Linked DNA regions of Lepisosteus oculatus. The protein of the gene in region 1 purifies or fractionates together with the protein of each later gene. This does not show direct contact. Links are inferred from orthologs where the notes say so. Each region holds a gene or a part of one and is shown on either strand. Other genes may lie near its edges.

What was found. The genes of interacting proteins can lie anywhere in the genome.
Region 2: the proteins of dbnlb (region 1) and neurl4 purify together in Homo sapiens (co-immunoprecipitation; 4 studies listed by BioGRID and IntAct, counting the BioPlex papers as one, with this or other methods). This does not show direct contact. The link is inferred for Lepisosteus oculatus from reciprocal best matches to the Homo sapiens genes DBNL and NEURL4.

The regions. Positions count from the first base shown.
Region 1 is NC_090697.1:71,793,652-71,801,220, reverse strand, and holds the start of dbnlb (drebrin-like protein B), read right to left. Parts: upstream 3,179-7,569; 5' UTR 3,027-3,178; coding exon 2,944-3,026; intron 1-2,943. UniProt on the Homo sapiens protein: Adapter protein that binds F-actin and DNM1, and thereby plays a role in receptor-mediated endocytosis.
Region 2 is NC_090698.1:7,785,607-7,793,797, forward strand, and holds the start of neurl4 (neuralized-like protein 4), read right to left. Parts: upstream 3,388-8,191; 5' UTR 2,809-3,387; coding exon 2,647-2,808; intron 1-2,646. Other genes in the region: uncharacterized protein, read left to right, coding at 4,511-4,764, 5,302-5,433, 5,739-5,816, 6,132-6,224, 6,964-7,094, 7,928-8,137. UniProt on the Homo sapiens protein: Promotes CCP110 ubiquitination and proteasome-dependent degradation. By counteracting accumulation of CP110, maintains normal centriolar homeostasis and preventing formation of ectopic microtubular organizing centers.

The DNA of each region.
Region 1 (7,569 bases):
TTCCAAATATCGCACTGTCGAGGCTTATTTTAGTGTAGTGAAAATGCCAGCAGCAGCAAAAAGCAGAACTATTTATCAGCTAATTTCAATTAAAAAAAGCTTAAAAAATAAAATCGTTACCTCACATTTAACACTGCCATATGGTGTTACAAGCACATGATACAACTTGTTTTAAGAAATGTATGCACTGATCATTGTATTGAATACAACAATATTTACCTACAGGAAAAACACAATATTTTACTTTTTATAACTTCTATCAAGAGTGCAAACTGCAGATGAGGAAACAAACAAGCAACCAACTGAACAGCCCCTTAGCCAATGGCTTATGAACTTACTTTTTCCCCTGTCTTTTTAATCCAACACTGTAGGTTTTCTTGCGCGACAAGAACTGTTTGAAAATAATTCTATACAAATGAATGTTCTGTAGAGCCAGGACCTTGCACAAGGATAGTGTAACCAGTGTCATTCACTTTGCTGTAATTATTGTGCACTATCACATCGGCACATCTATCACATTATGGTAATGAACCATAAAGTCACTTTGTGTGTCGAGTGGGTCACGAACACTCTAGTGAACTCTGGCAGTGTGAAGCAATACCCCTGATGCTAAGCTGAGGTTAATTAAAAAGGGACGCTGTTAAGCACTCCAGTCAACAGGTTTAATAAGAAGATTAAATTACAACTTCGTGTTGCTCTGGGAACTTGACTTTTCTATATTTTCCAATGGACGTAATATTTTATTTGCAATGCAATTTTCTTAGTAAGCAGCAAGGTTATCAATACAGGAAGCAAACACTTATCCTACCCACCATGAAATTATCACTGTTACTTAAACACGTCTAACAAGCACACATCCATCACAGTCCTATTAACAGTGATGCTCCCCCGACATCAAAATGACAAGTCTGTGAAGTGCTGGGTTTTCACAAAAGCAGCAACACCTCTCTCCCATCTGAGAACTGTCGTCATTTTAAAAACAGCCACTGCTTACTGCTGCAGAATGCAAACACATCAAATAATCAGGCCTTCAATATACCACCTCTTTTATCCCTCCCTCTTTCCAGAGACAGAACTAAGCACCCCGCTCTCTCGCCCATCAGCCACCACCTTGCGTGAGGTGACTCAGCTCTCTGTCTTCCAGCGTAGCGACTGTGTGCCTCTCTCAGTGCTCGCTGCAGGATTAAAACTCTAAAGCTGTACTGTGGAAATGAATAGCAACCTGCAGGCAGAGCTCATTCAGGGTCTGTATGACAGAACACAGTTTCACATGTGCAGAGCCCTGAACATCCCTAGCACTGTGTGACGGTACATGCCCACCAATCCAATATTCTGTAAACCCTAGTATAAGTAAATGTTCTCCACTAGCATGCGTGGTTGTATAGACCGGACCTGCCTGTGTTGGAGCCCACTCCATTTTATGCTAGATGTTGTCAGGCATGTACTTTCAGTATTAGTGGGGAAATGCTTTGGTTATTTAAATCCAAGTGCTGACACTTCTGGGTGCGAATCATTGTTCTTGCTTTTGTGTCTAGGCAGCTCCTACGATAATCTACCCACTTCCTCCAATACGAGACATTTGCAAAAGTGGTAAAAAGGTGGCTTTCTAAAACATAACCCCTTTTTGATGCTTCCTACTTTGAAACCTCTGCGATTGCTACTCCATAAACAGGCAGTAAGACTCAGATCCAGGCATGGCCAGAACAGTACTGTTTTTTTTCCGTTCTGCTGCTGACACACATGAGTAAAAACGATTCCCTCTCCACGGTTTTTGTGGGAGGACTGTAGGCGGTTTAGTTTTAGACATTTCAATTCCAACTCCTCCAAAATAATTAGCACACTGACCCCTGTAGAGCGTTTCGGTTGGGTTTAAGGCTGCTGGGACACATCTAGAGTCCATGGAACCTGGCAAAATGATTTATCTTAAATGTTTGGCTGATGTGGGGGCGTCACTGAAGATTTGTAACTGGCGATTTTAAAAGTGGCCTGGCCTTTATTATAGGTATTCATATACAGAGAGACACACAGGTCGGACAAAAGCTACATCCCAAGAAGTAAATCAATCAAACGAAATGAATTATACTGTAATTCAACCGTGTACTTGATAACTGTATTTTGTAGCTTTATCGTTCCAGCCAGTGCGAAGAGTTTACCTCCTTACTAACCGGAAAGCGACCACCTCTCAGGGCATTGAGAGGTTAAGAGTGATTCATTCGTGATCACTCACGTCCCCAGACTGTCAGACACTCAGTCCAGCGACTCAGCAAACGTCATTTGCAGCAGATACGCCAAATGCTTGTATTTTATAGCCAGGACGGCTGAAATACAAAAACAGGTTGCAGGTACGTGCGAGGTACGCTTTCACAACGCAGACGACCTGACCTCGAGTGAAAAGTCACCAGAAAAAAAATTCTCGTGAAATACCGACACAGGAGGTTTCAAGTTACACAGTTTTTGCTGTAACAAAACTCACGTCTGAATCAGGAGTTCCTCCTTGACCAACTGCATGTTCGTATAACAATATCGCTGTAAACCGTATTTGTCAATTAAGAGCACGTAATGTTAAAAGGCAAGGTAACGGAACAAGTCTGCTGTAAAAGGTGAATTTGGGAAGTAGATGACTTATTTCCAAATATATCGATACGGACGCACTGTTAATAAATCATTCGAGTCTCACAATCGTTCTCGTTTATTCGAGACAGCGCGACTAATGAGCGCGCCTCCAAACACGCACACATTGACATGCCAAGCAGTAAATGAATGCTGACTGGCAAGAACAAATACACAAATCCCGTGTTATTTTCGGAAAGCAGGAAATCAGTGCGGAGCGCCAGCCGCAGGCATGAGGAGACAGTTGGGGGAAATAGCTGCCCTCAGTCTGAATGTAGGACGAAAGCTAAACACGCCCGGGGTGCGTTGCATCACTCCTTACAGTTTTCTTACCAGTTCGTTTTGGATTTCTCGTCCACCACCTCTTTATAAGCTGCAGTGATGGCCGGGCCGTTTTTGCTCAGGTTGACAGACATGATCCCGTCACCGTGTTCCTCCTGGAGACCCTGTGCAACTCAAATTGGCTGCAGCCCGACTTTGACCGTCTGAGCCACCGCGGATGGTTATCGCAGTCCTGCTTTAAACACAGGAAGCGACGAGCCTCGCCGAAACACGTAAGCTCCAAACCGAAATGCAAGCGAGCGCCGCATGCAGCTTACGACTGCCCCCTACTGCTTGGAGGTGAAATTTCCGAAAGTTTTGAAAGGGTTTTTGTGCTGAAGCCCCGCCAGTTTTTGGGTGCGCTTTGTCCTGCAGTGTTCATGGACTGTGCAGTACCGGTACAGTCTGTATGTCCATTGCATTATTACATTTTTATTTTTATACCGATGAAGCAGTATTCAAAATTGTAGCCTAATCTCTCAGACCTTATAAAGTAGTTGGTCTACTTAGTACTAGTACATAATAATAATAATAATAATAATAATAATAAAATAATAATAATAATAATAATAATTATTATTATTATTATACTAATAATTATTATTATTATTATTTATATTATTATTATTATTATAATACCTTACAATTATATAGCACTTTTCAGGACACATGGGACACCAGTGTAACATCCCTATTCTTTTCAAGTAATGCCCTGGACATTTTAATGCCCACAGAGAGTCAGGACCTCAGTTTTATGTCACTATACTGGGGCATTAGGACCCACACAGAATGCAGGGTGAGCCCCCCCCTACTGGCCCCACTAACACCTCTTCCACAAGCAACCTTATCTTCCCTAGGAGTCTTCCATCCAGGTACTGACCACACTCCCACCTACTGAACGTCAGCAGATTGTCACTGGGAGTTGGAGGATGATATGGCTGCTGGCACAAGGAAGGGAGACTTCTAAGCAAAATCCAGTAGTGTTTTTGGTCCAGTAGGTAACAGCTTCTCCCCTGGACTAGAATTTCCAAACCAATACCCAATACTGTAAACAGAATTTCGGCATTGTAGGAGGTGCTGTACTTCGGATGAGAAGTTAAACCGAGGTTAGACCTCTAAACTACTTTGTCATTAAAAAACACAACTTCCTAAAAGTAATGGAAATAGTTAGTGACCTCTAAATGCAGGATGATTTTAGCCTTTATAGCCAACTATGCCATCTATCAATTATAAAAGGTGCTAGGATATTTTTCCCTCCTCAACGGGTTCTTTCTATCTCTCCCAGAACCACCAGTGTCCCCAGGGACCGGACAAGACATACATCCTTACATCATTTCCCTTTTCTATTTCCTTGTGATTACAGTTGTCTATTACGGCCTAGCCAAACAGAATACATCACATAAAAGGCATCTCCGAGGGACACAAGAACCCCACGGACCCCAGTTACCAAACTCCAGTGTGCCAGAGGAACAGTCCAGCAGTGCTGTTCTCTAAAACACAGCTCCAGTCGATGCCCTGCTGTGCCTCCTTTTCACCACAGAGCATGAACTCCACAGGTGTAGTCTCAGGTGCCCTCCTCAGTCCAGGCCGTCCTGAGCAATGGATGCCGGGGCCTTTCTCCACTGCTTTCTGTAGAGTCCCTGGTGTCCGAGTCTGCTCCTGGGTGCTGTGGTGCAAACTGCGTTTCTTCTAGAGTCTTCTGTCTGTCTGCTCCCGACTGGTGTTTTCCAAGCCCCCTGAACCAGGGCTCACGACAACAGAACAGTACAAACTCAAGGGCAAGGGCAGCCTGTTACTACCTCTGCTATCACTTCTAATAAAAAAGCAAAACACTCAACCAGGAATTCATATTATGAAAGCAAAATGGGTGCCAGGAGTAATCCTTGACTTCCAGCCATGGGTTTTACTCCTTAAACTCATCCAAGAAACAAACACAAAATCAGCAGGTTCATTTAAAAGTCGTTGGGCAAGTAATGAGCGTACCTATGAATAGATGAATGTCAAGATTTATGTACACTCCAGCAAGCCGATTAATATATGAGATAGGAAAATGTGGTGCCCCAGTACAATAACACTTGAAGAATAAACTCTATCAAAAGTTCCTTATTATTGGAAGATGTGAAATGTGTTTTTTTTTGTGAATATGCCACTGTTATAACTACAGCAGTACGTGACAAAATGCTTTCAGTATTTTCAGTTCTAATGAAGGCAAACATTTATTTATAAACCGGGTATGAGGATGTTTGTTTGTACAAAAAAAGTTATTTCCTGCAATGTAATTAAATCTAAATAATGACACATCCGTTTTTTCCAATGCTAAAAGCTACCTCTTCCGCTGAAATCAAAGCAATGGAGTCTAGAATGCCGTTTTATGCAATAACCCCAGAGGGCGGCATTGTACTGAGATATCTTTCTACACCCAACATAAATAGAACATATTTGATTTCTTCAAAACATTAAGGCCATGGTTTAAGAGGCAACATATTAATACAGGTTTTGGAGGATTTTAATATTTCAATGCTTTGTCATTAAGCTTGGATGGTGTTTTATACTTTACCAAAAAACTCTAGACTACTGTACAATGTTAGTACTATATTATTATTAGACTTTGGTTAGAGAATAGTGTAATAATTTAATTTATGAATCGTGATAAGAATACAGCAATTTCATGGATACATTTTTGAATGCAAACCCAAAAAAGCACTTTAACTTTGCCCTTTATTCAAACAGATTTGATCATGCCACAGTTTGATAAGTTTCTATCATCCAGCTGAAGAGCTTCCATCTTACTCCCACAATTCAGATTGCTTTTGCAACAGAATCCACTCCTTCTGCTTAACAACCTTGTTGCTGAATCTGTGGAACACACCAGGGAAATAAAATTCAAACCACTTATAAAACAAAAGGAGCTTTATTAATTTAGTGTTGGTACATCTGAATTTCTCTGTGCCAAATGGTATCTGAACATACTGGGAAGGAAGTGTTGGGGCGAAGGGGGTGGGGTGAGGGCTGGCCGTGCATTCAGAATCATTCACGATCGAAGTGAAAATAAGGTGATGCCTGTACACTTAAAACTGGGGCATCCAGGATTTCAAATGAGCAAAACACTGAGTAAAAAAGTTTGCATTAAGATTCACTTTTTATTAGGCTCATGCTGAAATGAAACCACGGATTCCCCTGCCTTGTAAAAAATTCTAAAGCCCTGATTGTGTTTTTACAGTATTTATATACAGGATACGATTATAGTTAAGGCTAAGATTTTGACAAAGGTGCCAGATAGACTATGAATAGTAATAAAATCCCTGAAATCTTGCAAATGGCTTTTCAAAACACTTTCTTCGTCAGCCCATTGTACAGAGCAAGCCACAAAACTGTTCTCCAGATGTAAAGACAATCTCTGAAAAAACAATCGGCAAGATATTGTTTCAGTGTTTGACCAAGAATCGCATCAAAAGCACACAGAGGAAAAGGTCATGACTGGAGACCACTATCAACTCACCCTACACTTGGAATATAATAAATAATGAATAAATTAATTAAATACAAAAAGCACAGATGTGCTAGGTATGCTCTCCAACCATGTCACTGCACAGCAACAATAATAAACAATTCTGCTCTGTGGTAACAAATTGAACACTACCTTCACGTAAATGCATTACATTCAAAAGTATTCCAGTAGAAATTGTAGCTGTAAAATATCCTGTGTTCTGCTTCCTTGTGATCAAAGATTATCGTTTTAGTTCCCTGCAAAGTTGCAGGGACATGTGAACTGGTAATAGACTTAAAAACAGTTTGGTGCCAAAATCGTAGCCTTAATTACACTAGAAACAGCTATGTGTGTTCTTGAGAAACAGAAAAGAAACAAAAGGCAGCCCTTTTTCAGAGTCTGAAAAGAACAGAAGCTGTTTGATATCTAGTTCTGGGTCAAGTGTGAACTGAGGCTAGTCTTGCTGTGAATGGCCCAGTCCAACCCCTGTAGCTGGCCTAAAAGTCCCAAACAGGTAAATACATGACACTGCGGAGATGCTGCCAAAAGAGCTACTTCATTAGCAGCTTTAACTAATCACTAGACCTATGCGTTTGGCAAACATTTGCCTGCCTTTACTCCGTTTCCTTAACCACATCTTTGTTAATCTCTTGATTGCTTTATAATTGTGGAAATTATGACAGTTTTCTAAACTATACAAAGATTCCTTTTTGACAGATGGACCAGTGCATAACTACAGTTAAGTCAATGGATTATATGATTGTAGCATTCAATCTGCAATGAAGAGACTGTTCTAGAAACTCATGCAGAGGAGAAAGGCTTTTAACATTTCACCTTGCTAACACCTCCAACCATTCACTTCAACCTCAGTGTATAGCCACTGAAGCAGAAGGTTCCCAACTGATTAAAAAGAGAGGAGTTGGGAACAGGCGTATATATTATTGTTTCAAGCATTGCTTTTTGAGCTGTAAACCCGAAAATATGCATGCCTGAAAGCAATTCTTCTAAAATGTTGTCGCTACCAAAGATGAACTTTCAAAAATGTGTTTGCTTAATGTTGTATACTATTAGGGCATTAGAATTTACATCTGGCTCTTAATACAATGAAACACTGATCGAAATGTGTTAACTTGAATCAGAACCAGTGATAT
Region 2 (8,191 bases), on another chromosome or scaffold:
GCGCACCCTACCAGTCCCACTAGCACCTCCTCTTCCAGCAGCAACCTTAGCTTTCCCAGGAGGTCTCCCATCCAGGTACTGGCCAGGCTCACACCCGCTGAGCTTCAGTGGGCTGCCAGCTGTGAGCTACAAGGCGATACAGCCCCTGGCTATATAGCTATCTTACGGCAAATTATTCTCGAACCCTTTAGAAATAGTGCATAGAATCCTTATAATATCCTAAAATCACCCAACTCTTTCTAATGCTATAGACGTGGACTTTGAGAGCCGTTACATTCATTATAACATTTGTAAGTGGACTGCATTAAAATATCTGGGTTTCCAAACGAGAGAATGTGGCACTGAAGGAAGAGGTCTGCATAATTTTGTCTGCTCTTTGGATTTCTGTGGTGAGATTCTGTGTATCTGAAATTTCGGAAATGCTGAATTGGAAATTGGAAAGCTGAATTTCCCCTCCGATCGTTGCCAGGAATCTCCTGATAAGAGCACGGATGGCATGACAAACCAGCCAACCCAAGACCACCCCAAGCCCTGACAGCGTCCGGTCAACTCCGTACCCTCACTTGAAAGAGTCCAGGTCATGGCTGGTCAAGGCTAGCAGCCCAGGATCGACCCTGTCGGGCTCGAATGAGACTTACAGGCTTGATCGCCTGCCAATAATGACCCCATAATGAGTCTTCTAACTCGCTGATTAATAGATTAATAGCCCACATCTGGCTGTCTTTAAAGAGAAGCTGAAACACGGTGAACAAGGCCATCGCTGGTATCCCCAGAGCACGTCTGCCAGGCAAGAAAAGGCACAGAGCCTCCCTGAATCTCTCTGCCGAATCACAACCGGTTTCAGGCCAGACAAACCTGCCCTGCTCAGCTCCACGTGATCCGAACATCTACAGCAATGCCAGAGGTCAGAGGTCAGAGGTCAGAGGTTGGGAGCCGCGGACTGAAAGCTGTGCCAGGGCTTCCCAGCGGTTTCCCCAAATGTCCTGAGCGAGCAAATACCCCCGCTAGACAATGCGTCTGTAGCTCCTGATTCACAAATACGTAGCGCCAACGATCAAGTCATAAAGCATCACTGGGTGCAGACAACAGTCTCGTCAACACACTTTATATTGTGCTGTTAACACAGCACTTGCCCTGCATGTAATACTCTAATGCACAATGTATATAGGTTTACACACTGCATTCATACACATGCAATGTACAGTGCACAAGGAGAGGTGCAGTTATTTAAAGGGCAAAGCACTTCATACTCCATTTAATATTGCATGTTAAGAAACAATGGAAATGTCCAGTAACAACCATTGCATTAGGGTTCAGAATAAATGTACCACAGTACTACTTCTGCGATCATGCAGACTGGAGTTTGGAGTCCCGGAACAGAATTCTCCTCCTCTGTTGCATGAATCCTTACAGAAAAAATCAGTTTGTTGTCCCATGTTTCCAGAAAAGCTTATCCGGTGCTTTTCCAGTGTGCTTTTCCACTTTCCCCAGTGGACAGCGATTTACCCATCTGTATGAATTTCCAAGGCCATACTCATGCCTAGAGGCCCCTCCAGCCAGAGACAAACTGGACTTCCGGGACGCCCACAGCTTTCCAGTTTGTGGGACTCTTAACGGGCTTTTCCATCCTCTCCCAACTTGCTGTGCCGGAGGAAAGTCCGTTTCCGATCAGGAATACATAATTAATGATGGACAGGCAGGAACTGACCTTGGGAGAGGATGAAATATTTATGTCGAGCTGCAAAGAAATGCCAGCGATTCCGCGGATCCATTTCTCAGCACGGCAAAAGACTCGTTTGACGAGCTCGAGAACAACTGGACAGCGCAATGGCCAACGAAGGGCGGGCAGATTTTTAATGCCTGGGAAAATAACGCGAGGGAATTCCGCTCTGCCGCCCGACCTGAAAATGACGGTTTCAGGTTTGGACAAGGCGATGCACACCCCTCTAAAACCGACTCACATAGGCTTCGGACAGTCCAACAGAGTCCCGCAGCCCATGTGACGAAAATAAAACCAAGTCACACACACGAACGGAGTTCGGGGGCGGGAGGTGTTGTCGCCTGCTCTAGGTAACGCCAAGTCGCCACCTGCGCCGAACACCGCAGCCCGGAGCGGTGGGCGCACACACACACAGCGCCCTGACCTCCAGCGCGGCTCAGGCCATGGGAGAAACCGACAGGACTGGCACCCAGGCAGCCCCCCCCCTCCCACCATGACCACCACTGACCCGTCGCGTCCAGAGCGGATACGCGCTCTTCAAAAATGAAGATTGCTCATGCAGACCAGCGGACACACCAGGCATGTATTTCACCAGGCAAGATGCACCACCTGTTTCATTTCATCCCGTGCCTTAGATTTCATCTCCGCGCCACCCCACCCCAAACACACAACACGATTCCGTATCACTGGATGCGGTACTGCAGAATTATTACCGTGTGCTAACAACATCCACCCTGCAGATACGTGCAATGCTAACACCGTTTCAAACAGTAGCCCCGAACCCCGACACCTGTGCTGGTGTCTTGTTTTCCGAACCCACTGGCCCAGGTGGATCCCCACGGAGCGACTCCCCTCTCATCCATCTCCGCCTAGCTGAGCTCCGAACCCTATCCCTGCCTCTCGCCCGTCTTTGCTCTCGTATTTACCTTTTTATCGATGCGGACAGTGAAGACATCCCGGTCTCGCAGCGGCTCACGGCTCAGTACAAGACCGTGGTTAAATTCCTGTACCGGCTGATTACGCTGGGCGGTTCGGTTCGAGTTCGACAGGCCGATCAGCTTTCCGCTGCGCGGATGCAGCTCCGCCATCTTCGCAGGGGCGGCCCGTTCGCGACGCCTCTTTACGACACCGAAACCAAGCGCGGCTCGCAACCCGCTTCGATTAGATGGGAAGACAGTTACGACAGTATCTCTCGTTTGACGGCAGAAGGTCAAAATGGAATTCTGTCACTTCACTTTACAGCAGAGTGTCAAAAAAATCAATTTAAAGCTCTGTGGCAGTGCGGGTGCATGTTTTTTTGCTATGTGCTTATATTACTAGGGGTCGCTTTATTCAGTTGCGAGGCTGTGGGCAAGAAAGAGCTATTGTATTTCATTCTGAAGCAAGAAAACAATCCGTTCATTTGCACTAATCGCCATAAATCACTGGGCTGCGATACCAGTAGTAAACAACAATAACAACGAAAACGAAAGTGTGAACGTTCCCTGCCTTGTAAAATTGTTATTCTTAAACATACAATTATTGACAGCAAGGGCAGATATAACTGACACAGGTTACTTACATTCTGGGAATACAGATATAAAAACGAACAAAGACTACACATTTTCAGAGCAGCAAAAACATGTATACAAGCATTATTAATATAATTATTTAAATAATCGAAACTGTTTTTACATTTTTGTTTCGGATGTATAGATAGATATGGCTTTGTGCGTTAGGTACTGTACTGTGCGGCGCTGTAATCAGAAGTAAATTTGTTGACAGCAGGTCTTTCCGTGAAGGGCGGGGCTGAAACGTAAGCCGCGCTGCAGAGTGTGACGTCGCAACCGCCGCTTCGCGTGATTATCACGTAATAGTTAAAGAAAAACTAACAGCACGTTAGTGAACTTTGCATTTTTAGGTGTGTGAAGAAGTGAAACAAGGATCTTTCAGAGCAGTGGGTCAGCCCGAATTAGGTAAAAGCTTTATGCTTGCGTAATGTGTTAAGGTGCATATGTTTATAAATTTGTGTTACAGGTGTGGAGAAGTGAGATTATTTTTTTTTCTGATGCACATGTTAATTCTAAATTACAATTATGTTGTGTTTAATTCTATGTTGCAGTGTCTGCCTTCAGTATTAACATCTGCATGATGCTTGAACAGGTGTGCAGTTAAATGCCTCCTTAAGTCGAAGAGTGTCCCCATCCCTCAAGCTCTTCTCTTTGGGGTGCAAACTAGGTTTTTGGGTTAAGACATGCCTACAGATTGGGAACCCCCGCCTCTATGCTGTGTCAAGAGCTGGATCGCTGTGGTGTGGTGGGGAGAGACTATGAGCCCAGATCAGATGATCTGGCATGATCAGATGACCTGGAGTGAGTTTTAGAAGAGTCATCCAGATCCATCTGGGCATTTTGGCAGCTAGTAGTTTATTTAATAATCCAGGGGTCATGTCCAGCCATTTCTCGAAACACCCCGATCAAAGGTCATCTTTGCTTCTTTCTCCTTCCTTTTTCCCCTCTTTTTTTAATGTTTGAACACAAATCCCAAGCAGGAAAAGAGTAGAGTAGTAGAGTCATTTTTTGCCATATGTACACATACATTGGAATTCTGAATCGCGCAGATCTCTCGGAACATACACAGGACAACAGGCAACACCACACGATGCAGACAGTACATCACAAACATAATAACAACAACAGGTACAAAAAATATGTCATAACAAGACAAATAAAACCACAAAAAAACATGGAGTGCTCAAAATAAAACCCAAACCCATCAAGCCTTTCCTGGCCCTCTGTTGTTTTGTGCTAGATGGACACAGAACCCGGGCGGCCGAAACCCTTGAAAGGGATTCTGAAGAAGGACCTCTGGGATGCCGACGCCCACCGAGACCCCGAGCGCCTGGTGCACAGCGCCGAGTGCCCGCTGAGAAGCCAGTCGTCCCCGGTGCCACTCACGGGCCTGGTGAAGCACAGCCTGGGCACCAGCTGCAGCCTGCCACTCAGGGGCATCCTGAAGAACAGCAGCTCCAGCGAGGAGGCGGGGAACGGCACTCCAAACCACAGGTGGCGCCAGCCCGCCCTCTGTGCCACACCAGGGGGGCCCGGGTTCGAATCCGCACACAGGACACATTTACTTCTTCACACTCCCCGTCTAGACCACCAGGTCTCAATGGCACCGTGAGACGCTGGGAGCATCCGGAAATGGGCATGCATTCCGCAGGGATCACCCCAATCCAGTCTCTTTTTCTCCAGCAGTATCACCTTCAGCTGAGGTTGCTATGAGGACACTGGAGTGTGAAACCTGCCATTCAGTTCCACTTGTCTCCAACAGAATTGAGATCTGGGGTATAGTCCTAGCCAGGGAACCTGATTTCATAGGATCCTCTGCTTCCTGCTCCTGATGTACAAAACCAGTGTTGTCGTGTCACTGAAAGAGTGTATTCAGTAACAAGTGTGTGGGCAGTTGTCACTGGTACCTGTGGAAACAATCAGCAGCAAACCTGGCTGTATACTTAAACCTACAGAACTACAAGAAAGTTCTGTGGTGCAATGCTAATTACAGTGGATCAATAGCAATGCAATCTAATCCTCATGCTGCAGTTACACAGCCTTTCTCGGCTTCTCCAGGAAGAGACAGAGGTGGGACGAGTGGAGCATCTTGGCCACGAGAGCTTATTTGCCCAGCAACGACATACAGAAGCTGGACCATGAGGAGCAAAGATCTCCCAGCATGTGAGTACATTGGAGGCTGTGCTTTGATACATTTACGTTGGTGTTTTCTCACTTTTACTATGGTTTTCAACAGGTCTGACAGTAAGATAAGATCAGATCACTTTATTGGCCATATGCGATTTCTTGCATTAGGAATTTGTCTTTTCCCATCAACCAGCCTGCTCTCCATGAGATACACAGACAGGGAGAGAAGCTTGGGGTCAGAGCGCAGGGTCAGCTATTTATATATACATAACACTGTAAATGGACACCAAAACATAGGCAGATTCTGCTGTTCTGTCCTGTTCATGTCTCTGACTCTGCAGAACCAGCGCTGTGATGTTGGAGGGTGCAGGCGGCAGCACATCTGGAATACAGCACACCTGCATCTGTCAGACCAAGAGGTAGACAGATTTTGAATTTGATTTGTATCCAATAACGGCTTTCCAAAGCAGTCCAGCTTCTGCTGCAAATGCTGTTGCGGATTTCATTTCCCCCGCGATTTACTTGAGCTAATCACTGGGAGAAATGCAGTCCCTTTGTCTGGTGGCATCATTGGTGGCTAGTTGAAAAGTAAGCTGTGACACTCTGCAGGGCTGTGGCCCCTCCAGGAGTCTAGTCGCTCACGTCTGCTGCTCCAGGGTGTCGGCTCTTTACACCCAGTGCAGGCCAGTGCCCACTGCAGGCGGGCGCTCTGATCGGTCGGTGTCTGTGCCCAGGAAGAAGAGCCAGAGCTGGGACGAGTGCAGTATCCTGGCCACTCAGCCGCCCAGCCTTATGAGGGTGGACAGTGCAGACTGTGCTGGGACCAGGTCAGCTTCTCTTGCGCTCCACCTGAATGCTCAACAAACAGCAAATCCATTCTCTATTGTCCAAGTGTATTGCCCTGCAGGGACTGACTGAGGAATGAGCCCTTCATACCTCTGTGTGCTTCTGTGTCCTGAACTCTGTGTTTTTGTGTGTCTTTGAGGTGTATCTCTCTGTCTCTCTGTGTGTCTCTGTGTGTCTGAATCTCTCTGTGAGTCTGTGTGTCTGAATCTCTCTGTGAGTCTGTGTGTCTGAATCTTTCTGTCAGTATCTGTGTGTCTGAATTATCTCTGTGAGTCTCTGTGTGTCTGAATCTCTCTGTGAGTCTGTGTGTCTGAATCTCTCTGTCAGTATCTGTGTGTCCGAATCTCTCTGTCAGTATCTGTGTGTCCGAATCTCTCTGTGACTCTCTGTGTGTCCGAATCTCTCTGTGAGTCTCTGTATGTCTGAATCTCTCTCTGAGTCTTTGTATGTCTGAATCTTTCTTTGAGTCACTGGAGCTTCTCACTTGGGGCCACGCAGCCTCATTAGCACAAATCTCCTTCAGGACAGTTACAATGGAGCAAAAATGCTTAAAATAATGAAAAACCCCTTTGCTGTTGAGTTGGAAAACTGGAACAGCTGGTCACACTGCAGCCCTGACCGAAACCCCCTGTGAAAATGTGCCTCAGCACAGTAACCAGTCAGCCTTGCCACTGGCTTTGCCCATTGTTTCTGACGCGCTGTACTGTGGTGTCCATGCAGCTCTGCCGAGACGGATGGCGCCATCGAGGGCACGTGGGAGGGCAGCGCCAATCCCGCAGCCCCCCAGACGGGGGGGGCTGCAGAAGGGGAGAGCAGGGAGGAGGGGTCCGGGGCTCCGGGGGCGTGTTTCGGTGAGCAGTCCCACTCCGCTCCGCCCAGCAGGAACACTGCTGCCCAAGAGGCACACTCATGCCATCCAGCTCCAGCTATCATTCCTCTTCGGAGGTTCTGCAATATTTTGCAATCAGCGATTATTTTTTATTTTATTAGCACTCTCCCAGCCTGGATATCCCATTCACTATTCTTCTTAACGCCCACTACAGGACCATTTCCAAACGGTCAACTTAGAGATCAAGTGGTTTCTTTCCCTGCCTGACGAACAAACTGAAGCTCAGAAACGTGCACCAGTGCTACTTTACACACAGAACACGGCGAGGCTGCTGCAGCTTTCTAGAACACATACATATATTTAAATACTTTAAAGCATAAATTTAAATAATTTAAAGGAAAAACACTGAGCAGTTCATACAACCCCTAGAATACAGCAGCAGCACAGCAGAATTTGCTTGTTGGTTTCTCTCTTGCACTGATCACACACAAATGAAATGGAAAAAAAAGAGCCCCTTGACATGTCTAGTACAACATGATCCCAGTATCAGGTGCCAGTGGGTCTGAGGGGTTAGAACACATCGGTCATTTGACCCACCAGATTGTCCATCTGGAAAACCAAACACAGTGCTTGATGGTGGATGATGGTTGCCTTTGGCGGAAACCTAATTGTCACATGCTGGGTCTGTAAATCCTGCTTCGCTGGGTTTGTCTGGGCGTGAGAGTTGACCCACGTGCCCCAGTTCCGCTGGCAGCGTGCAGACCAAGTGGCGAGACACCAGGTGCTGGAGGAGGCGTGGAGAGGTCATTAGAAAAGGCTGCTCTGTCGCTTGTGTGTACTGTGTGTGTCTCGCAGGAACCCCGAGCTTCGAGGAGCTGAGGAGGGCTTTCAGCGACGAGGGCAGGCACGTCAAGCTGGCCCGGGACCTCCTGCAGGAGGAGGAGGAGGATGAGATGGAGGAGCCGAAGGAAAGGAGCACTGTCCCCACCCTCTACTACTGCACCAACTGCAACTGCACTGCCCACAGCTGGGAGCTCCCTCGGGGCTCCCTGGACAAGCCCACAGGTGCATGGACTATTCCAGCAGCTCTATCACCCAGCAACTCTTACAGGGCAGCCC